Linked DNA regions of Drosophila melanogaster. The main gene of each other region encodes a partner of the protein of the gene in region 4 in a complex. Each region holds a gene or a part of one and is shown on either strand. Other genes may lie near its edges. The genes, in order: Saf6, wda, Ada1-1 and Spt7.

What was found.
Region 1: Spt7 (region 4) and Saf6 share a complex: the UniProt entries of both Drosophila melanogaster proteins name them as parts of the spt-Ada-Gcn5 acetyltransferase (SAGA) complex.
Region 2: Spt7 (region 4) and wda share a complex: the UniProt entries of both Drosophila melanogaster proteins name them as parts of the spt-Ada-Gcn5 acetyltransferase (SAGA) complex.
Region 3: Spt7 (region 4) and Ada1-1 share a complex: the UniProt entries of both Drosophila melanogaster proteins name them as parts of the spt-Ada-Gcn5 acetyltransferase (SAGA) complex.

What each region holds. Positions count from the first base shown.
Region 1 is NT_033779.5:811,676-817,953, forward strand, and holds Saf6 (SAGA factor-like TAF6), read right to left. Parts: upstream 4,276-6,278; 5' UTR 4,157-4,275; coding exon 3,800-4,156; intron 3,747-3,799; coding exon 3,600-3,746; intron 3,547-3,599; coding exon 2,568-3,546; intron 2,510-2,567; coding exon 2,276-2,509; intron 2,219-2,275; coding exon 1,782-2,218; 3' UTR 1,639-1,781; downstream 1-1,638. Other genes in the region: Dbp21E2 (DEAD box protein 21E2), read left to right, coding at 1-821, 887-1,636; Pex12 (peroxin 12), read left to right, coding at 4,408-5,301; CG15880 (uncharacterized protein), read right to left, coding at 5,371-5,507, 5,569-6,223. UniProt on the Drosophila melanogaster protein: Component of the transcription regulatory complex SAGA, a multiprotein complex that activates transcription by remodeling chromatin and mediating histone acetylation and deubiquitination. The SAGA complex predominantly acetylates histone H3.
Region 2 is NT_033777.3:23,254,135-23,260,538, reverse strand, and holds wda (will decrease acetylation), read left to right. Parts: upstream 1-2,451; 5' UTR 2,452-2,539; coding exon 2,540-2,698; intron 2,699-2,758; coding exon 2,759-4,053; intron 4,054-4,130; coding exon 4,131-4,431; intron 4,432-4,491; coding exon 4,492-4,838; intron 4,839-4,915; coding exon 4,916-5,045; 3' UTR 5,046-5,469; downstream 5,470-6,404. Other genes in the region: Pex11c (peroxin 11c), read right to left, coding at 111-318, 378-437, 498-862, 1,558-1,629; EloA (elongin A), read right to left, coding at 6,091-6,170, 6,230-6,404. UniProt on the Drosophila melanogaster protein: Component of the transcription regulatory complex SAGA, a multiprotein complex that activates transcription by remodeling chromatin and mediating histone acetylation and deubiquitination. The SAGA complex predominantly acetylates histone H3.
Region 3 is NT_033779.5:11,994,676-11,999,178, forward strand, and holds Ada1-1 (transcriptional adaptor 1-1), read left to right. Parts: upstream 1-2,133; 5' UTR 2,134-2,228; coding exon 2,229-3,028; intron 3,029-3,092; coding exon 3,093-3,219; 3' UTR 3,220-3,290; downstream 3,291-4,503. Other genes in the region: CG18789 (uncharacterized protein), read right to left, coding at 1-510, 566-642; Qtzl (quetzalcoatl), read left to right, coding at 1,139-1,268, 1,327-1,568. UniProt on the Drosophila melanogaster protein: Component of the transcription regulatory complex SAGA, a multiprotein complex that activates transcription by remodeling chromatin and mediating histone acetylation and deubiquitination. The SAGA complex predominantly acetylates histone H3.
Region 4 is NC_004354.4:17,848,162-17,852,795, forward strand, and holds Spt7 (Spt7), read left to right. Parts: upstream 1-2,298; 5' UTR 2,299-2,379; coding exon 2,380-2,522; intron 2,523-2,583; coding exon 2,584-2,686; intron 2,687-2,746; coding exon 2,747-3,580; 3' UTR 3,581-3,726; downstream 3,727-4,634. Other genes in the region: CG15814 (uncharacterized protein), read right to left, coding at 480-600, 658-893, 956-1,184, 1,253-1,549, 1,615-1,649, 1,747-1,794; CG32554 (uncharacterized protein), read right to left, coding at 3,727-4,446. UniProt on the Drosophila melanogaster protein: Component of the transcription regulatory complex SAGA, a multiprotein complex that activates transcription by remodeling chromatin and mediating histone acetylation and deubiquitination. The SAGA complex predominantly acetylates histone H3.

The DNA.
Region 1 (6,278 bases), on a different chromosome or scaffold from region 4:
GCCATGTGGCTTCATATGCCACAGCGGCGGCGGCGGCAGTTAAGACGAAGCCACCAAAGGCAAAGTCCAAGGGCAAAAAGCAGAAGGGGGAGCCCCTAATCTCCTGCAGAAGAAGCCAGTTCGATTTAACCCAATACGAGCAGACGGATGCCAAGTTTGGGAGTCTTTCGCTGGCCTCCAAGGGCTGGCTGCACAACAAATCCAAGGGAGACTTCTTCATCCTGAACGCCAGCGTGCGAGGTGAGGAACTCCAGCAGGAAATGCAGACCGTCGATGAGTTCCTCGAGAGCACGGGGATGCAGATTCATCCGCAACTCCTTGAGAACTTGCGAGTCGAGCTGGGCATCAAATTACTGACGGGAATCCAAAAACAGGGAATGCCCGTTGTCCATGGAAATGAGCACTGCCTCATTGCCGCTGAAACTGGGTGTGGAAAAACAATTACATATCTCCTGCCTATCGTAGACAAACTCCTCCAGAAAGAAGTGGTCACCGAACGAAAACTCAACACCCCCCGTGTCTTGATCCTCACTCCCGGCAGAGAACTAGCCACGCAGATTGCTGGGGTCACGGAGAAGCTCACCCAGGGCACCAATCTCAAAGTGCAATCTTTACTTGGCGGCAATACCAAGCAGCTTATGATGAACCCACAGTTCGAGGAGGTGGACATACTGGTCGCCACTCTGGGTGCACTTAGCAAACTGGTGACCACTGGCATCTACCGCATGGAGCAGGTTCGTCATCTGGTTCTAGACGAAGCGGACACCCTCCTAGATGATACGTTCACAGACAAACTTTCCTACTTCCTCAGGAGATTTCCCGTAAGTCATTCTAGGCGATTACCAAAGGAATGGCTTCAATCAGCTTGTTTTTTCTTATTCGACAGTTCCACTTGGTGCAAAAGGAGGATGCTGGCACCCAGATGATCCTGGCCTCGGCCACCATGCCCACGAACACCAGAGAGATCCTTCACAAAGTCATAGACGTGGACACCATCCGTGAGGTCGTCAGTCCGCACCTGCACCGACTGATGTCTCATGTGACGCAGAAGTTCCTGCGGCTGTCGAAGGCCGATCGGCCCGCCACACTTCTGTCACTCGTGAAGCATGATCTTGCCAAACGTCGCCCTCTTATCGTGTTCAGCAACAAGTCCACCACCAGTGACTTCGTTTCCATCTTCCTGAACAACAGCGGAGTGAACTGCTTAAATCTGAATGGGGATATGCTGATGAAGATCCGTCTTGGCCGCTTCGAGCAGTTCCAAAACGGTCACTGCGACGTCCTTTCCACCACCGATGTGGGAAGTCGTGGCCTGGATACCACACGAGCTCGACATGTGGTCAACTTTGACTTTCCGCTCCACGTCTCCGATTATATCCATCGTTGTGGCAGGATCGGTCGGGTGGGCAACATGGACAAGGCGCTAGTCACGAACCTGATATCATCGCGCCGCGAAATCGACGTCGTCCAGCGAATTGAGCACGCAGCTCGAACAGGTGGACTTCTGCCGGATGTGAATGCCAACATCCGAAACATTATCAACAAGCGGATTGTGGCGGAGATGAAAGCTGCAGGAATGCCCGTGCCCGCTTTGGGCTCACTAAATGGACATACGCCTCAGGAAGAAGCCTTTTAGTTCTGTGTTTTTATGTATTACGAGTAAAGTTGTATCACCTTTCGGAAGACCGAAGAGGAAGTCTAAAGTAAACGAAGAGTTTTATTGAGATCCCCAGGTCCTCCTGGACCTCCAGAAGGTCTTATAATACTTTCCCAAGTCCCTTTCAGATCCTTAGGTAGTGATAGCCACTGATGGGCGACCACTTTCTCACGTTGGTCAGGGGCTTAAAGAGTTTTCGTTTGGCGATCAGGATGTCGGAGCTGGCACCGCCACCCCCACCACCGTTCGCTGCCGACGAAGGCGAGTCTTCGGAGTGGGGAACAGTCGCAACCTTCGGCTTCAGCAGCACCGGGCGGCATCCTGCAAACTTAAAGCGGATGTTGCCCGCGCAGTTGAGCTGAAGATTTGGTGACTGAAGGTCGGGGAAAGCCTCGCAGAGCGTAGGCTTCGGTTTGAGTGCCTTGCTAGGATCGTCTCCGTGGCACATGGCTGCCGCAAGAGTACTCCATTCCAACCGACGCACTCCCGGCACTGATTCTATTCTGTAAGCGGGTTGTTTGGCCTTCACATACCGTCTGGTTACCATCTTTTCGTAGGCTCCTGCAATGATTTTTAGTTACTTAACCGCTTTTCATGGAACACATGGGTGTTTCTTACGCGCATAGTGGACCAAGAAGGGCTGCAGAGCAGCACCGCATCCGTACTCCAGCCATTCATACAGGTATACGTCATCATGACCGCCAAGGAAGATGGCAGCCGGAGCCAGATCCGGCCACAGGCTATCCGGGATTTCCTCGACGCGCAGTTTGTAGATGTAGGGAATAAACTCACGAAAGGCATATTCTCCCAGGGCAATGAGACCGCGCACTGCTCTACTGATATACCTAAAGTCTTAATTAAGAAATCCAAAGATAAGGATCCAGGCTAACAAATTGTAAGGATGATTTACCTCTCTCACTGCTGACGTGGCGACCTTCGAAGAATCTCGCTAGGCGTCTCTTGATCAAAAACAGGCACTCTGCATGTAGGTAACCACTTTGAGATGCCAGCTGTCCTATAGTTTCACACAGCTCGTCCACCAGGCCATTGCCGACTGGACAGGCAAAGTAGCTGGATAGGTGTTCCGCCTCCGGCTGAGGATTCAATTCCTCCTCCTCCGATTGCAGCTTGTAGATTGTGTGTTCCATGGTGCTCTCACCCGGAAACATCTGGGGTTCTTGCTCCTGTTTCTCTACTCCCATGACCTCCGGATTTTCCTGGGTTTCCGGATTATGGCACTGGTCTGGCTCAACCTTTAGTTCTTCTTCAAACTCCATTTTGATGGAGGTGGTTTGTCCCGGATCTGGGTCGACGTGTGGAGCTTTGATAGTTTCGTAAGGTGCCATTAGCTGGCTGACCAGTACCTCGGCCAGGTTGAAGTACTCCGGCCGGCAGGCATTGTGATTAGCAGTGGCGTTGTAGTTGCATGCTCGGAGCAGTCGCCAGCATCGCTGGCTCAAATGGTCCTGCTGCTTAAAGGCTAGCAACTGGACCATCTTACTCACAATCACTCGGTAGATAGATCCCATCAGGGGTGTCTGAAAAGCATGGCAGACGGCGGCCGTCTGGGATTTGCTGTCCGCAAAAAGGGCTGCCGTCACAAGACTCTGGACACACTGTCTTAGTTGGTCCATGTGCTTATCCTCCACTGGGCAGATGCTCTGAAAGTCTGCATCATCAGGTGTGCACAGATTGACTTCCTTCTGAAACTCCGCGCTCAGCTCGAAGATCTTATCCGAGTGAAAGTAAAAACTGCCGTCATAGTCGATCCGGTCCCAGTCGCTGTCCATCGCACCCAGCATAGGCGGCACATCGGCATCTTTTAGCACTTCGTTCACCAGGTCGTATGTCACCACTCCGCCCGAGTGGCGCGAGTATATTTTGACATTCTGAGAGATCAAGAGGTTAGAGGGATTAAAGAGGTGTATTACGGTCGACTTACATTGATCAGCTCCCAGACTTTGTAGGAGGCATCTTCCGCCAAACGGGCGCACACATCCTGGGAGAGTTCCACATCGGTCTGGTCGTGCTGCTCCCAAAAGATCTTGATGCTGCGCGGATCGAAACCAGCATAGCTCTTCTGATGACCCTACAGTAAAGAGAGCTTGTACCATAAGAGGGCCCTGAGATTGGCATCCTTACCATTCGACTGGAGTTGCCAGAGGCTTCTGCGCCCGCGATGCCGCCTGCAAGTCCGTGCCCACCACTTCCTGCTACCGCAAATGAGGCGTCAAACAGATTGTAGTTACCCAGACTAGATGTTGGCGTGGTGGGCGTTGTCACCATGTTTAGGTGAGTGGGCGTGGCCGGCAGGCTGCCCACTGCAACGCCCCCGCTCACTGCGGATGCGATGGAGGATGATGCGGATGCCGACAGGGAATTCTTTCCAGTCAACTCCAATTTCGCCGACTTAGATCGCGACTTAGTGGACTTTTTGCTGACTTTGCTGTGCGATGACTTGTTCAGCTCGTCAGTATTGCTGGCGCCAGAGGTTTTCATCTTCTTGGTTTTGTATAATTCATAAATGTATATATTTTCAACAGTTGGTAAATAAACAACGAAGCTGCACCACAAAATAAACAAATCTTGCCAGATTATTAACCCAACTATCGATGGTGCCAACGACTTATCGATATATTGATGAGCACTCGACTGTTTTCAAGCCAAGCCCGATAACACCAGTACTGATAAGAATAACAACATAATTGGTATTCGAATTTAATTCCATTTATTTAAATGCTATAAACACAATGGCAGAAGCGGCAAATGTGCGCCAGAACCTTCAAAATGTGCCGTCGATCTTCGAAATTTCAGCGTCAGAGACGCTGGACAACCTGATTTACCCGGCACTGAGCAAGATATTCGACTACTTTGGACTACGCCTGGACTTTAAACTATGGGGGAGTTTGAGGATTCAGGAGGAGCTGTCGCCATTGCTGACTTGGCTGCTGCAGTACCTGTATCTGCGCAAGAGGGCCTCCTCTTTCGGTGAGAGCTTTTACGGATTGCAAAGGACGGTCACAACCACTGGGGATCTGCTGAACCGCAGGCAGCAGTTCGCCTCTGCCACACTGCTAACCTTCATGCCTTACGTGGAGCGGAAGCTAAGGACCAGGATCACCAGGCACGAGGACACCAGTCCCTGGGAGCAACGCCTTCTAAGCGCATTCCATGCTTTCCATGCCGCCAAGGCGGCGCACACATTCTTTTACCTCGTAAAGTACGCCTCAAACCACTCGCCCATCTTCAGATTGTTGGGGCTGACCCTTCGCTATCCCAGCGAACCTCCCAAAGAGGATCAGTGGACCTACGTGGTCCTAAAGATGCTGGAGGTCTTGGCCTTCTTCCTGCAGTTCGTCCAGTGGTGGTACTCCAACGACCAGCGGCGGAAAGTGGGTGGAACTCTGATAAATCCCGAAGCGATGCCGAGAAAGCAGCTGCCCAAGGAAGTGCAGCAGAGCCTTCCCCAGCGGGGAGAGTGCCCAGTCTGCCTGCTGTCCATCCAGACGCCCACTGCCTGCTCCGTTTCCGGCTACGTCTTTTGCTGGAAGTGCATCGTTAGCCACATGAAGGAGCACGGCACCTGCCCGGTCACCCACTATCCCATCAGTCTGGACGACCTGGTGCGCATCTACGAGACGTAACGTTAAGCATTCCTTTTATGTTTTTTGCTTGTTTTTGTTTAATACATTTTATAAGGAATTGGGAACTGTTTACATCTCGCTGAGGAAGAAACCCAAACGTTGGTCGTAACATATGTAGACGTGGTAGAAGTCAAAGTAGACCGTGCATAGATAGATAAAGAAGCACTCACAGGAGATGAACTCGCCCATACCGAATACGGAGTAGGCTGCAGAGGATCCGGGGATTAGAATTGTAGACATCCTTCCATTCGGTTAGGTTCTACTCACCCAAGGGAAAGCAAAACTTCTGGTGTATAAAGTAAAAAATCCACATGACCACCACCCAGACGTAGTAGGTGAGCACCAGACCGCTCTTCAACCGCAAGGAGAATTCCTCATGCAGCTGCCCAATCCTATCGCTCATATAGTACTTGGCGCACACAAAGGAACCTGCCATGTAAATGGCACACGATACGAATAGCGACAAGGCGATGGTTATGTGCAGCAATGAGTCGCCATCCTCTTGGGGGAAGGTGCCCCATAGCAGTACGCTGGAACTACTGACAGCCATAATGATGGCCATCAGGCAGCCGAAACCTCGGACCGGCCTGCGCAGATTCCTCCGATAGAATCGGAACTGCAGCCATGCACTGGCAATGAGAAATGGGAACTCCAGGTAGCAAGCCAGAGCCCACACTTTGTGCTGAGACTTGGCAGCCGCCGATGTGGAGGGAAAGATGTTGAAGGCATTACAGGTGGTATACGTGGTGGACTGGAAGTCCGTGGTGATGGCCATCACCAGGTTGTACACCATGCAGACGGGCAATTGCAGAAGCCCCAGTGCGAGAATCGGACCAACTGGGATGCGGAAATGCCGCCTCGCCTGCAAATCCTTGATGGAGCTGGGCAACAGCTTGGCTTGATCCTCCACAAAGTGCAGCATTTAAGAGCAGGTTAATCCTAGGACAAGTCGGTCAGACAATCTTACACTTTCTGTT
Region 2 (6,404 bases), on a different chromosome or scaffold from region 4:
ACTTTCGAGTGCCGTACAAAAAACTCAACGTACAAAAACGATTACCGACTAGCTTAAAATTCTGTTCAACAAATACGAGTACACGGATTGCAAATACAACGGCGGACCGACTACTTGTTCAGTCTTCTCTTGGCAAAGATCTGGTAGATGCCCAGGCCAGCGGATAAGGTGCCAATAGCACCCACCTGCAGGGTGGACAGCTTGCCGCCCCACAAATATCCTTTCGGCAGCGTGCTGACGGCGTGCACAAAGTCGAGTGAGATCCGAACGATGGACACCATCTCCAGGCGGTGCTTGGTCAACGTTTTCACATCCAATCTATGGATTTGGAAGGTTTGTTAGCTTTTATTGGATGTTTTCGGCTGACGACCACTTACTCGTTTATATTATTCGTTCGGTTCAGCTTTTCCTGATTCAGTGAAAAATTCCGCATTGTCCTAGAAGATGCAATTTAATTTGAAAATTCAAAGCTGACGATTCGAATAATTCTTCTGTACCTCATGAGGTTCAGGTACACCGAAAGCACCCAGAATATGGAGTTGACATTGTCCCAGTTATCCGCATTCTTGACATCCACAATCTTGTGCTCGGCCAGCCAGCACACCTTCTCGATGGGATAGTAGAGCAAATCCACAATGTTGGCCGTCACTCCCAGCACTTGCATGACGCGATCGGGCTCATTCTCGCCCAAGCCATACTCCAAAGCATATTGGATCATGGGTATGTCGTCGATGAGACGCAGTGTGGCTCTCGCACCTGAGATCCTTGAGCTGGCGGTGGCGTATCGCTTGGCTAGTTCCGGATTCCGCTTGGCATGGTAGCCAGCCACCAGTTTGGCACTGTAGCACAATGCCTTCATCACCTGAAATAGGTATTTAATTTCATATATGTAATAATTGTTCTGCGCAATTCGTTAAGCCGTGTGTTTGCTCTATCACGAGAGTTGGCATCGCTGTTTACCTTTGCCTCTACCTGACCCCAATCGCCAGTCAGCCCTGCAATTTGTGGAATTGCTTGGTTGTCACAAACAGATAAAATACTATCAGCGATAAAAAGAATACAACGAATGCCACAATCATCTCGTGTGATGGCCGCCAGTGGAGTGCTCCTGGTCGTCCGTCCTGGCCGGAATGAGTTGTGGGTGGTTTCATTGTTTACCCATTAATGGTTCAGTTTGCTTGCTTTGCCATCAATGAATTAGTTATGCAATTCGGAGGAATACTAATGTCGCTATACGACTAATTTATGTAAATATCCTATAGTATTTCCAAAGTTCGTGACCACCCCATTCGCTGTTTACAGCCACATAATATATTATATTATATTTTCAAATGGTTATCAAGTATAACAAATTATTTGTTCTAATTAATAAATCTAAAATACTTTGAACAATATTTTATCGTATTCAAGGTTCGATTTTTCTATTAAAATAGAGATACACTATACAAGATTCCCTCTTTGTCTGCACTGTATACACCCCTTGTAGGGGTATATAAACTCGCGATGGTGGAAATGTGTGGATCGCGTGTCTCCTGATGGGCGGCAGTCCAAACAAACCTTTCGTTCATAACGAATTATCCGCTTTATCTGGTAGCGGCTTAAAGGTTTGCCGGCTATAGTATTGAGCATTATCTTGACTCGATCGCCGCCGAACTGCGACTGATAAGCGAAAAGCGAAATACAAAATCCATTGCGAATCAGAAAGAAGTAAGGCAAGGTCCAAACTGCTGTGGCTTCCTTGTTCGAGACCCAAAGACCAATGCCAACATCGATGCAGCAACAACATGGAAACCTGTTGGTTCAGTTTCGATTTCAAGCGAGCCCCTCAATGGACCAGTCCAAAAAGGAAATAGAAACCAGTCAAAATGCCACGATGCATTTTTTTAAATTTGCGCATACGAATTGGGAAAAACACTCGGTTCAAACGTAAACAAACAGGTGTGTTTTCAATTAATTGGAAATTTACTCGGCTGTGCGGCTCTTCTATGTTACCTTATCTCGCCCGCCATAGGAATCGATAATATCACAGAACTCGTTCACAAACTTTGTCGTGGTGCCCATAATGGCTCGTTTTTTGAAGACCAGGTACTGTTTTATATCACGTAAAAACTCGAACTGAGATACCGCAGCGAAAATACAAGAAATTGTCAAGAGCGCTCGGGAATCCAACAACACAAACAGCTGACTTTCTTCAGTGGTGACAATAGCCAAATAAACTAGCTAAGAATAGAGAATATAATAGAGCTAAAAATAAAAAGCTAGTTAATATAAATAAAATATAATATAAATATAAGTTAAAAATGTAAAAATAAATTTAAAATTAAAATATTTCAATATCAATATTGTTATAAAAGAGAAGCCAAATAGCCATCACTGACGAAAACAATTTTGAAAGAACAGCTGTTGCAGCCGCTTAAAATCGATGAATGCACATCGATAGGACAACCCATCTCCGCTGTCAGCACTATAATCGAACGCATATCGGACGCACTGCAGGACGGGATCAGGATACGGAACAAAGCGAGGCTAACACGCAACGATGAGCCTGCCCAGCGCCAGCAACCACGCACATGCTGCATCGCCCGTCTACAGCAACAGCAATAACAACAAGTCGAGCGCGAGCAGCAAAAAGACCTCCTCCAAAAACGATTTGCTACGCTGCGCCGTGGGACTCCTGCTGAAGCAGAAAAACTACGTGGTAAGTGAATAATCTTCAAATATACAATTCCTCAGAGTGTTCAAATATTCAAACCCGTAGAGCAACGAACGATTTCGGCGGTCGGATTTTTTGCTGCTGCAAAACAAACAGCAGTTTGCTGTCAACAAAATGCTGGATACGGATTTGCACGGTGGCAATAGCTTCACCTTTTCAAATGTCCAGGTTATCACCAACAACCAGCACACTGTGGACCAGCAATTTGGTCGGTTTTCGCAGTTCGTGGAGGCCCAGGCCGAACCGCTGCGTCTGGAAATGAAGCGCTTTTATGGACCCATGCTGTGCCACTTCTATCTGGATCTGCTCAAGGCTCGCGAACCGCGTGGCGCTGTGGAGTTGTTGCGCAAATATGCTCACTTGGTGGCCCCCGTGGATATGTACGATGCACCACCACCTACCAAGATCAACGGATGCTCCACTACGGCCAATGAGTCCACTTTTAACATACGCTTCGCAAAGGAAGCCCAGGACACTGGGGACACGGAACTGGACTACTTTATGCGCCTGGTGCAAACCCTGAGTGGCTACACACGGCTGGAGGCAGCAGAGTCCGATGACACAGTGGCCCATTTTCGATCTTCGAAATACGAACTACATACTACAGCCGTAGTTGTTAATAGGATATGCGCTTATCTCCAACGACGGGGCCACGTTTTAATTATGAACCTACTCTACACCTGGTTGCATGTCCATATAGTGGAGAATGAGCAGCGCGCCTTTAGTGAGGATCACCTGCTTGGCTTGACGGATGACCTGGAAGGTGAGGATGGAGAGGACGATGTTGTTTCCAAACCAGCAGTAACCCTTAATACCCGCGGAGACATAAGACCAAGCAAATCCCTCACTGAAAAGTCGAACCGAAAACGACCCGCTGAGGAGCCAAACATTATGCTAGAAACAGACATCAAACAGGAGGTAGAAACGGATGAATCTGCAGAGCTTAGTAAATTACAACTGAATATAGACGCCTGCTTGGACACCCTTAAATCGGCCACTGAACAGATACTCAAGTCTCAGGTGGAGTTGCCGCGATTTCTCAGAATCAGTGAACGTTCTCGGGGCCTCACCTCCGCCCATCTGGATCCCAGTGAGTGCCACATGTTAGCCGGGTTCGACAATTCTGCCGTACAGCTGTGGCAGTTAAACCAGAGCTACTGCCGCGGCAAGAGCTTCTACAGACGCTATCCGCAAAAGCGGTGTCCCTGGGAGCTGAACAATTGCGCGAATCAAGAGGAGGAGACGGATGAGGACAGCAGCGATGAGGATGTCAAGTGCTCTGAGGAGGAGAGACGGGAACGCAACAGGGCGCGACATTGCAAATATGCTGATAACTCCTAGTAAGTTCATCTTCCAGGTTTAGTATTGGTTTTATTTTTCAATTTTTAATCAACTAAAGTTTTTTTTTTCTAATTAGCAACGAATACGGCGGATTTCAGCTGCGAGGTCACACAAAAGGAGTCACCGATGTGCGCTTCTCCGCCCACTACCCACTCATGTATAGTGTGTCCAAAGACGCAACCATGCGGTGCTGGCGTGCCCACAACCTGCATTGCGCCGCCATATACAGAAGTCACAACTACCCAATTTGGTGCTTGGACGAAAGTCCAGTGGGCCAATACGTGGTAACGGGTTCCAAGGATTTGAGTGCGCGCCTCTGGTCGCTAGAGAAGGAACATGCGCTCATAATTTATGCCGGGCATACACAGGATGTTGAGGTTGGTTTAACCAAAAATGTCTTTGAACTTTTAGTTATATATATTTTTTTTTTCTGACAGTGCGTTGCGTTCCATCCGAATGGCAACTACATAGCCACAGGATCGGCAGATCACTCCGTTCGCCTGTGGTGTGCAACCAGCGGAAAATTGATGCGTGTCTTTGCCGACTGCCGTCAGGCGGTGACCCAGCTGGCGTTTAGCCCAGATGGAAAGATGTTGGCTGCCGCCGGAGAGGAAACGAAGGTGCGTATATTCGACTTGGCCGCCGGAGCACAGCTGGCTGAGCTCAAGGATCACTCGGCGAGCATTAGTTCTCTTTCCTGGAGCACGCACAATAGGCACCTGGCCACAGCGTGCAGCGATGGTACCTTGCGATTGTGGGACATCAAGAAACTATCGCCCATGAGGTTAGTTATATTTGTGGAATGGAAACGGAGCAATTTGTTAATATTGGTAATGATGATTTATTTTGGTTGCTCCACAGTGACAACAGTAGTGCTGGAAGCTCATCATCAGCTACAACGAATCGTGTGCTTACTGTCAATAGTTCCTGCCAGCGCTTGGTCGATGTTTTTTACGGGACCAGCAAGACGCTCTACTGCATCGGCACTTAAAGAAGACGGTTGAAAGTTCAGCCCGAATTTAGACTTTCTAGTGACGACTTATGTTTGAAAATAATTTATTTTGTAATAAGTTGTATATTATTGTTACTATCGTGTGAAACAATTCTTTATATAAATAATTCTTTTGATTTAACAATCCTGGTAGCTTTCTTGTGGAATAAAACGAGTTGGTTACAGTGTAATGCCTTTACCTGCATCGTCTACTGGTCACAGCTAAAGAATGTCTTTCAAAACGAAGTCATGGCATAAGTAATGAGTGGCCAATTTCCACAAAAGTTGAAAAATGTGTAACTATTAAAAATAAGACGAGCATTCGAATCGAATTTCAATTGTTGAAGTGATTTTTTTTAATATATTAACATTTTACCCAATACCTAAAAATGTGCAAAACTAAATAAATCTAAAGGTAATATAGAATTTTTTGGTTGAATTTAATTAGCGATGCATTAAGAGACATTTTACTGTTCTTCAATAATTTAGGTAGTTTCATATAGGTTTAGGATTGTGTAAATACATTTATATACAGCTTGGAACCTCTATGATTTTGGACATACGCACAGCCCTTTTGAACAAAGAACATTGAACTTAATTTTTAAATAATGTTGGAGTGATCAGCCTTCTGATCGTAAGTTACATGCAATCAATGAATTGAACAACTATAATCAAATATCATAACTTATGTAAATGAGCTTGTCTACGACCCAGCGGGATGCAACAAAAGCTTTATCTTTATCCGGTTGGCTTAAATATAGTGACTTATACAGCGTAATAAAAGAGGGCAGAACATGAATAAATAATAAATAGCATGCATATGCTACGCATGCCGACAGCAGCAGTCTGATTCCACAGCGCACTGGGAAGTAGAAGGTCTAGTATCACAATGTCACTTTATTCAGACCTGAAAGTCTTTGCCAATAAAGTTGGAAGGTAATCCCACCGTGAATGCCTAATAGATCGAGGTTGCTGCTACTGCTGCTGCTTAAGTTGTCGCTGAAGAAGTTGAGTATAAGATTGTAGCTATAATGAGTAAGCGCATCTATCGTTTGAGACGTCCGCGCATAAACTGCAAGGTCTTCGCCATTAGAGGTGCCTTCTTCGATCGCGCTGGTCCAGCCCCTTTTCAATAAAAATTATAGGTAAATTTAATTCTTAACCACAATCATTACAATACTTACCCACTTGGGCCGTGTCCCTGGCAGCGGCCAGCACACGTAGTCGGGCATCGCCCACCTTGGCTGCATTTGGAGTCACGCTGGACAAGGCGGCCACTCGGGCGGCTGGAGTGGCAATTAGCTTGCCCTTGGTGCCATATTGCTCTTGCTTGCGCTGCACACTACGCGGCGGCTTCAC
Region 3 (4,503 bases), on a different chromosome or scaffold from region 4:
GCCGCAGCTCCTACACCAAAAATGCTATTCCTTGCATTGGCATTGCTAATCGTTCCGCCGAAAATGCTATTGGTGTTGCTGGCTTGGCTTGTGGCATTCCCAAATATATTTCCCGCACTCAGCGTGGGCTTTCCAAAAATGGATGCAGATGTATTGGCGGCAGCCGGAGCTGCTGCAGCGAAGGGATTACTGGACTGCTGAGGGGCAGCCGACACAGTGCCGCCCTCCGGCGTCTCGTGGATCTTGATCATCATTTCCAGGACCTGCGGCGACATCTGAAGCATGGTCTTCATCTTGTTGTTAGCCTCTAGGACCTCACGGTTAAACTGTTGGCTGAACTGTTCGAATTGGTTTTGTCGTTTGGCCTCGTAACACATGAACCGCACCTCCTCGAAGGATTGGTCCTGAATAAAGTTGGGGAAATTCGCTTTGTCCTTAAAGGGTCCGTAGGCGGACAAAGGCCACATCTTGCCATTGAGGCTGGATTCCATGTCGGCTTTGAGATATTGCCTAAAATAATTAAGTTATTAGTTCATCTGCATAGTTTTAATATCAATGTACTCACTTAACATCGAAATGCTCGTTGTTGCACTTTGCGCCATAGCGGCAGGAGCCTTGTTGAAAGAACCGGCAGACAACCATATTTAAATTTGATTTTAATTTTTGCCTATTTCCTATATTTATTATTTCAAAACTGCTTCAACTTTTGTACTTTTGTTTATAATTGTCTTACTTTGCGTATTGAGTATTCTTTGAGTATTTTATGGCTCACTGAGAAAAATATACCGTGCCTATGCGCGCAATTTCGTGAATTCGTAACTTAAGTTCGCTGAATGATTAAGATAATTTTGTAAGCAAACATATTTAAGATGAAAACTGGTTTTTGAAAATATAGTTCCTTGTAAATTATACATTAAGTGCGAATATATCTGAAAAATATTGGTTTCTTGCACAGATGCTATTCATTTTTCATATGTTCAAAGAAATTCAGAAACTTGCTTCTGCATAATCGAATCAGATAATTTTAAAGTGAATTCCGGAGTCCTTTGGTATATCTCGTGCCGCCGAATACGGTCCCACTGATTGTGAAATCCGTGATAACGAATTTTAACACCAGAATTTCTAGGATTCCATCAGAATGCAAAAAGTGCTGGGACGCATCCAGGCGCAGGTCCTCCGCTCCCGGGCGACGAATGCATTAGCCAATGTGGTTAGACACGAGGCCACCTCCTCCAGGACAGCGGCTAAACCAGCCGCCACATCCAAAGGTAAGCGGATCCTCCAAGATGCACAGTTACCGCTTACCAAAATCGTATTCGTTCGTAGAATTCCGGGAGAGACAGGTGCGATTCAACATAAAGAACGAACAGACCGAGGGTAGACCACTTTACCTGGATGCCCAGGCCACCACTCCAATGGACCCACGTGTATTGGACGCTATGCTCCCCTATCTGACCAATTTCTACGGAAATCTGGTTCGTACGCTTCGCCTTCAACGCCTGGCAAAAGATTCTGGCCTTGGGCAATCAACTGGGCACAACATTTGTCTGGGAATTGGACTGCAATGATCCCAATTTAACAAAGTGTAGCCAGCTGGTTCATCCCAAAAGCAACTCCACCATCCGACAGACTTCCTTCTCCAAAGACGGTTCCATTTTAGTTTGCGTGTGCGACGACAGCACCGTGTGGCGATGGGATCGCGTCAATTAGGATGAGTGTTTCTAGGCTAAAAGAATTTTCCTTATCCTTCTAAATCCGATACCATATTTATGTAACCATAGTTATTTTCAGTGTAATGTTTACCTTCAATATTAAGTATGTTCTTATGCGTAGCATTTATATACAATACTCATTGTATTGACAATTTATGTTAAATTATGTTAAATTTTTTAACATTAACCAAGATATTTATTCTATTCTATTACTTTTTTAATGATCAAATAGCTTCGCAAATATTATCATCTTATGTTGTGTGAATGGCGTGGGCTCTATCTTTAATGTTTATATTTTAACTAACTAACTTGTACACAATAAAAACTGTGAACACTAAAGATTAAAACCAATATTTTTTTAAAGGGTTCTTCAAAAATAACGGTTTTTATCTCAAATGTATCTGGTATTTTCAGCCGTTCTTTGAACGGTCACTCGAATCAGCTGCATTCATTTGTTTATATAGCAATTCGCAAACAGTTGGATTTTCCTGTTTAGTTGTTATTCCCAATACTAAAATGCTTACCGACAGAGTTCTGGCCACCAAGGAGGCGCTAGTGGTGGCTCTGGGCGACAACTGGGAGCGTTACCGGGCCAACATGAAGAATTGGTTTCGGAGCCGTTGGACTAAGGAGGAATTCGATGCGGAGTCGCGGAAAATCCTAACACCTGACAAACTGCACCTGCACAATCAGTTCCTGCTCGCCCTGCTCAACAAGATCGACGCCTTTGCTCCCCTGGAGAATCCTCCGGCCGTCCAGACCAGCAGCAGTAGTGGCAACCGAAGCAAACGGCGCAAAAGAAGTTGCCGCACCTTCGCCGAACGCCTTAATTTTGAGCTCAGCGACGTCCTGGACTTTGTAGCCGAGGACAACATGCAAATCATTCGTCCGCCAACCACGATCGGTATTCCGTCGGACCAGCAACAGCAACAGCTTCAGTCGCAGCGGTACTGCGCGCAGGAACTTTTCCTGCCCGACGCGGGATTCATTATGGGACGATTTCTGATCGGTGCCTGGGAAATCGGACTTGTCTCCGTGGACGACAATGTCGCCGAGTACGTTGCCATGGCCGTGCAAGTTCTGCTCAAGGATCTACTATCGGCAATCATCAAGAAACGAAAGCACTACAAGACCAGCGGCGAGGGAAACTTTTACTACGATGTAGGTGCTCCGTTGCGTGATCCTTCGCTGCGCAACACCGTCACCCGGCAGAAGGTCGACGACACGCCGCTGGAACTGGACAAGGAACTGAATACGGCCAACTTTATGCGGCGACAGAACGACGATGTGACCTTCCTCTCCGCCTGCGAAGAAGTGTAAGCTCCTGAATAATAATGAGATTTTCATGTGAAACACAAACTTAGGTTTTGTTTCTTTCAGCCAACCCACCGAACGCACAGTAATCACCCTCAAGGACTGCCAACTGGCCTTACGGGATCGCAACCTGATAGGCTCGCATGCCGTCTACTCCATAAACATGGAACGACTCAATATGATGATGCATTAGCTTATAAGTTCTAATTATTTTATTATATCAGCTTCTGTAAAAATATATACATTATACGCTAGTGTACCATTAAGTGTTTGGTTCAGCAAAGATTCCGTGGAGGCGGTTTGAATGGCAAGGCACCTGGTAGAAATTGATCCGCCTTGAATGCTTCGATTTCCTGCTCGTTGAGATCCTCCATGCGACTGTAAACTGAGGACTGGATTTCGTTGGTCGGTTGAGCTTGCTGCTGCTGCTGCTGCTGCATCATTTGCTGTTGCTGTTGCATTTGAAATTGTTGTTGCTGCTGCATTTGTTGCTATTGCATCTGCTGCTGCTGATGCATTTGTTGCTGTTGCATCTGTTGCTGCTGCTGCATCTGTTGCTGCTGCTGCATCTGTTGTTGATTAGGGAATGCAGATGCTGCTGCTTGAGCAAATAATCCGGAGGCAGCTGCCTGCTGCTGCTGTTGTAGTTGCTGAGAAGCCTGAGTAAACATTCCGCCCATATTTTGGCTTGCGGCTTGGCCAAAGATTCCCGTCGACTGCGGTTGCTGCTGCTGCTGTTGGAAACCACCGAAAGGATTAGGATTCACTGGCTGAGCTTGCACCTGAACCTGCGCCTGGGCGAAAATGTTGCCCCCTTGGAAAGCTTGTGCAGCAGGCTGCAGCTGTTGCTGCTGTGGCTGTCCAAAGACACTTTGTGCACCTGTTGCCGCAGCTCCTACACCAAAAATGCTATTCCTTGCATTGGCATTGCTAATCGTTCCGCCGAAAATGCTATTGGTGTTGCTGGCTTGGCTTGTGGCATTCCCAAATATATTTCCCGCACTCAGCGTGGGCTTTCCAAAAATGGATGCAGATGTATTGGCGGCAGCCGGAGCTGCTGCAGCGAAGGGATTACTGGACTGCTGAGGGGCAGCCGACACAGTGCCGCCCTCCGGCGTCTCGTGGATCTTGATCATCATTTCCAGGACCTGCGGCGACATCTGAAGCATGGTCTTCATCTTGTTGTTAGCCTCTAGGACCTCACGGTTAAACTGTTGGCTGAACTGTTCGAATTGGTTTTGTCGTTTGGCCTCGTAACACATGAACCGCACCTCCTCGAAGGATTGGTCCTGAATAAAGTTGGGGAAATTCGCTTTGTCCTTAAAGGGTCCGTAGGCGGACAAAGGCCACATCTTGCCATTGAGGCTGGATTCCATGTCGGCTTTGAGATATTGCCTAAAATAATTAAGTTATTAGTTCATCTGCATAGTTTTAATATCAATGTACTCACTTAACATCGAAATGCTCGTTGTTGCAC
Region 4 (4,634 bases):
GCAATTAAGTAAAATCAAGAAAATAAAATTGGTAATAATACCTAGGAGGCATACACACAGGCACACATATGTACATAAATACATAGCTACGTATAATATATAGATATAGATACATATATCCAAAATTGCATTTACGTTTCGATTAAAGACTCCAATGGAAAAGGAAAATTTGGGTGCCCAAAAGCAAACCACACACAGAACTGGAAACCCGCAAACAGATTGGATGGCAATGGCATTCGTCTACAGATCTTTCATCCGTCATCGTCATCATGGTTCAGGTTCATGTAATGGAGTCGTGGAGGGGAGCGGGGGAATGAACGGCGACGGTACTAGTGGTGCGGGTGTTTCGCAGCCCCTCCAGGTTGGTCTGTCGTTGTTTCTCCATCGTCGTGTTTTCCGTGTGGTTTCATGTGCAGGACTTAATCCGAAGTGTGTGTGCTTGACTAGACGCCGAGGAAAGCTAGTGCCGGTATCAGGATCTACTCCAGTCCCAGCATCCAGTTGATGCCTTGTACTATGAAAAAGATGAGCGGCTGCCAGGCCACCAGCCAACGAATCCAATCCAGCAGGCGACCGTACAAAACGTGCGGCTTCTCCCAGCTAGAGGAGAAACAATATTAAGTAGGCCAGTCAAACGGATGGCTCTGAATGGCTTACGGATTGCGGAACATCTTCTGGAGATCGACCTTTTCCTTGCAGTAGGGACACGTCTGCTTCTTGCCCACAATGCACCAACCACGTATACAGAACTCGTGGAATACGTGGTTACAAGACAACTTGTAGGTGTTCTCAATGACGCCCTCTTCCTTCTCCGAGACCAGCAACTGATTGCCACACACTGCGCAGACATTCTGATCAAGATGTCGTGTTGGAATACCCTGAGGTGTGTAGTACTGTGGGACAAACGGGAGGGTTAGAAGATTCCAACTGGGTATCTGGCCAATGGTCAACTCACGCCAATAGCTGCCGCCATCTTATCCGAACATATCTCGGATATATCACGCCCCAGGACGCCGATGTACAGGCCGTAGAAGCAGAACATCAGGCCCACATCCATCCATGTGTTTGGTGGCTGTGAGAACATGTAATTCATGCCCAGAAAGGCGGCTATGATCACCAGATAGCCCACCAGGCCAAGGCCATAGCTGAGCTTGTAGATGAAGTAGAACCACTTGTAGACCAGCCTGAAATTGGATTTTATGGGTTATTATCTGGCCTTCGTCGGTCGCCGTTCTTATCTACGTTGACTCACCTAGGCGTTGTGCCCTGGATGGGCTTGCTGATGGCCCGTCGCATAACCAGTGCCGTGATGCAGGTGAACACCAGCCAGATGATTATGAAGCGCAGCCAGCCGAAGCTGCAGGAGATGATCAGCGGAATGAGCCACATGGCCAGCAGGGTGACGAAAGCGTAGGATCTGTAGTGCCGCTTCTTCCACTCGACCAGGATGATCTGGGCAATAACCAGGGTGACGAACAGAATGATCACCATCTCGGAGTGCATGGCATCGTGGCCGCGATGTTTCTCCACCATCAGTTGATGCTGCGCTCTGTTCGATTGGATAGCCGAAAATTTGTTATGATTTAAAGGATTTTCTAAGGCCACTTCACTTACCGCATTCGCTCCTCCGGCGTCATTTCGTCCAGGGACTGATGGACATCCGCATTAGCAGGGAATTGCAGGGAAGAGGGAAAATTTGGCAGTAGAGTGGGGCTTCCTATTCGATTCCCATTAGAAAAGACTCACCTTGTTCAAGTCCACGGGCTCATGCAGGTCCATGTGCTCCTGGTGCATCTTATTGCCGTTGTATCCGCCGTATCCCGCTGCCGCCAATCCGCCGGACAGTCCCACTCGTCGTCTGCGTCGCTGCGTTATCTTGCCCACCACGTATTGCGATCGGTTTTTACCTTTGAAATTCGTGAAACGAAAACAAATAATTACATTTTATGCCTGTGTGCTTGTCCAGCTGCAGTGGCGTTGCCATTTGTCACAGCGGCCGAAAAAACGAATACATGTATGTGTGACGTGAGCCACAAAAATACAAGCGCGACCTGATTGTTAGAACCAGCTGTCCTGAGTATGGGGTTTTTCCCAAATTGTTGCTATTTTATCATAACCTTTATTTACTTTAGCTACGACAGCGCTTTCTGATTATCGAAAACGAAACGTTCGAGGCCAACGTTGCCAGATGCCGCTGCAGGCCGTGCCGATGTTTACCGACAATCAGCTGTTTGGTTCAATGAGTTGAGTATTTCGTTCCCAGCGCAAGCAAACTTATCGATAGTCCCGATAACCAACCATGTTATTTTAGGGCCCGATAAGTAAACAACAATATATTGTTAAGTAAATGTTGTACGTAGGTTTTTAAGCGAAATAAACATGCAAACAGAGCACTGGGGCTCGCTGCCCGCAGAGGATGACGGCGGTCAACTGACGCCGGACAAATACGTGCCCACGGCGGCCAAGAAACTTAAGCTGGACGAGATTCGCCAGCGCGGAGATCCGCAACCGCAAGAAAAGCAGTAAATAAATCTAAAGAAAAGCTTTAACGCAGCCGGTAAACTAACCATATATTCCATGTAGCCACAAGTTGGAGCTGAGGAGTGCGCTGGTCACCCAGACCATCGAGGTGATGAAGCAAACCGAGGTGCTGCAGTCCCTCATTGAAACGTACTCCAACAAAAATGCAAGTTCTTGGTTCTTGTTTAACCGTAGTATTTACCTAATTTACCCAATGAATTCATAGGGAAGTTCCAATTACCTCTTGAATCCGTGCCTAATGATACCGGAAGTGGACTTTCCGCCGGAGAACGCAGCCGAACTGGTGGGCAGCCAAAAGTTTCAGAAGCCCATTTGGTTCACACCAACCGTGGACACAGCCTACTCTCGCGGGGATCCGGAGGCATATCCGGAGATCCCCAGCTCTGCTTGCCGCCAGGCGATGCGCAAGGTGATGTGCGGCATGCTGCGCCTGGCCGGCTTCACCGACTGTTCCGAGTCGGCGGTGCAACTGCTGACGGACGCCACCGAGGAGTTCCTGCGCAGCTTTATCGGCGAGTATCGCGGCTACTATGACAGTCAGCCGCGGCTGCAGAATTCCACGGTGCTGCAGCTGGTCCCACTGGAGCGCGCCCATTTCGCCCAAACGGGCACCTCGCTCACCCAGGTGCACAACTACTACAAGCACAAGGTGCTGGCCAGGAATCGCGCGGAGATCGCTGAGTTCAACAGCGTACTGCAGGAGTACGACAAACTGATGAAGGAGAGCCAGAGCAGCATGCAGAAGCAGCACAACGAGTTCAACGGCCACGACTTTCTCAACATCCTGGACAACAGCGCCACAGGCAGCAGCCAGAGCATAGGCGGCATGGCCATGGGCGATATGCTGCAGGATCTGGGCGGTAGCACGGGCTCCAGTGGCACAGTCAGCTCCCAGCAGATGCTGTACGGCCTGCTCGATGGCCAGATATCGTCCAATACCTCCAACATGACGGGGACGAGCGGCAATGGCAGCACGGGCGGCAATGGAAATGGCAATGGGGCCACGATTAGCAACTTTCACGCCACTTTTGAAACGTAATTGTTAAAATTGCGGGGATAACTTCATTATCTCACACTGAGATATCTCTAGCAATCAAATGTTTCACACTTTTTATAGAACGACTAAGATCTCTAGGCTCAAGTTAAGTTAAGCTCTAAGGAAACGTACTAATTAAATAGTTTTTATTACGTGTTTTGTTTATTGCTCATCTTTTTGCTAATCCTCGACTCGTTCCAGTTGTTTTGTCGCCTCCGCTTGGTGAACTCGTTGGTGGGTTCAATGGCCACAAGTTTGGTTGCATTCGGATCGCTGGCTCTGTACTGGAACACTTTGTCGTGGCGCGTCTTTTTCTGGGCCCACGCCAGCAGGTCCCTGCCTTCCAGTATGGAGTTGCCAGTGACCACCACAGAGTCCAGAGCTTCGGGCGCGGATTGGTCTTCTTCGGGGGTCCGTCTCCTTATGTTAGGTTTCTTTTTCGGACCTGCAGGACCTTCCACCACCAAATCGGCGATCAAATAGCAATCGGCATTGGACACGAGCTTGACTTTGTCGGGTGGGGGCTTCTGTTTGCCTACGCCATTGGGTACATCCAGAGAGAACTCGATTTGCTCCTGGATTATGCCGCTCAGTCTGCGCCAAATGTGCGTTTGCATCTCCTGCGAGATCTGCAGATCGCTGGCAGGCGCGTCCTGATCCTCCACGTAGCGTTCACTTTTTACCGGCTGTGCTTCGTCCTTCCTAGTGGCCAACGGTTGCTCCTCGTTGGCTACTTCATGCGCCTCCTCTTTTGGCTGCGATTGATACATGGCATTTGTGAGCAACGTGGTGTCCGCCGCCTCCAGGAACTGGCGCATCTGGGCGTCGTCCTCGGAATCAGAGTCGCTATCCCTTGATTTAACTGGCATTTTTTGTACGCTCTTTGAATATTTATTTATTTACATTTAATTTTTAAACGATAGGTGTGCCGTTAACGTGCACGATGGTTGGAACTGCCATTTTCCAAAGCGATAAGTATCGATAGATTCTAAAAGCGCTATGATGGAATTCGAAATTACAAATAGGAGATTGATAATATTTTTGATTTGGCCATTTA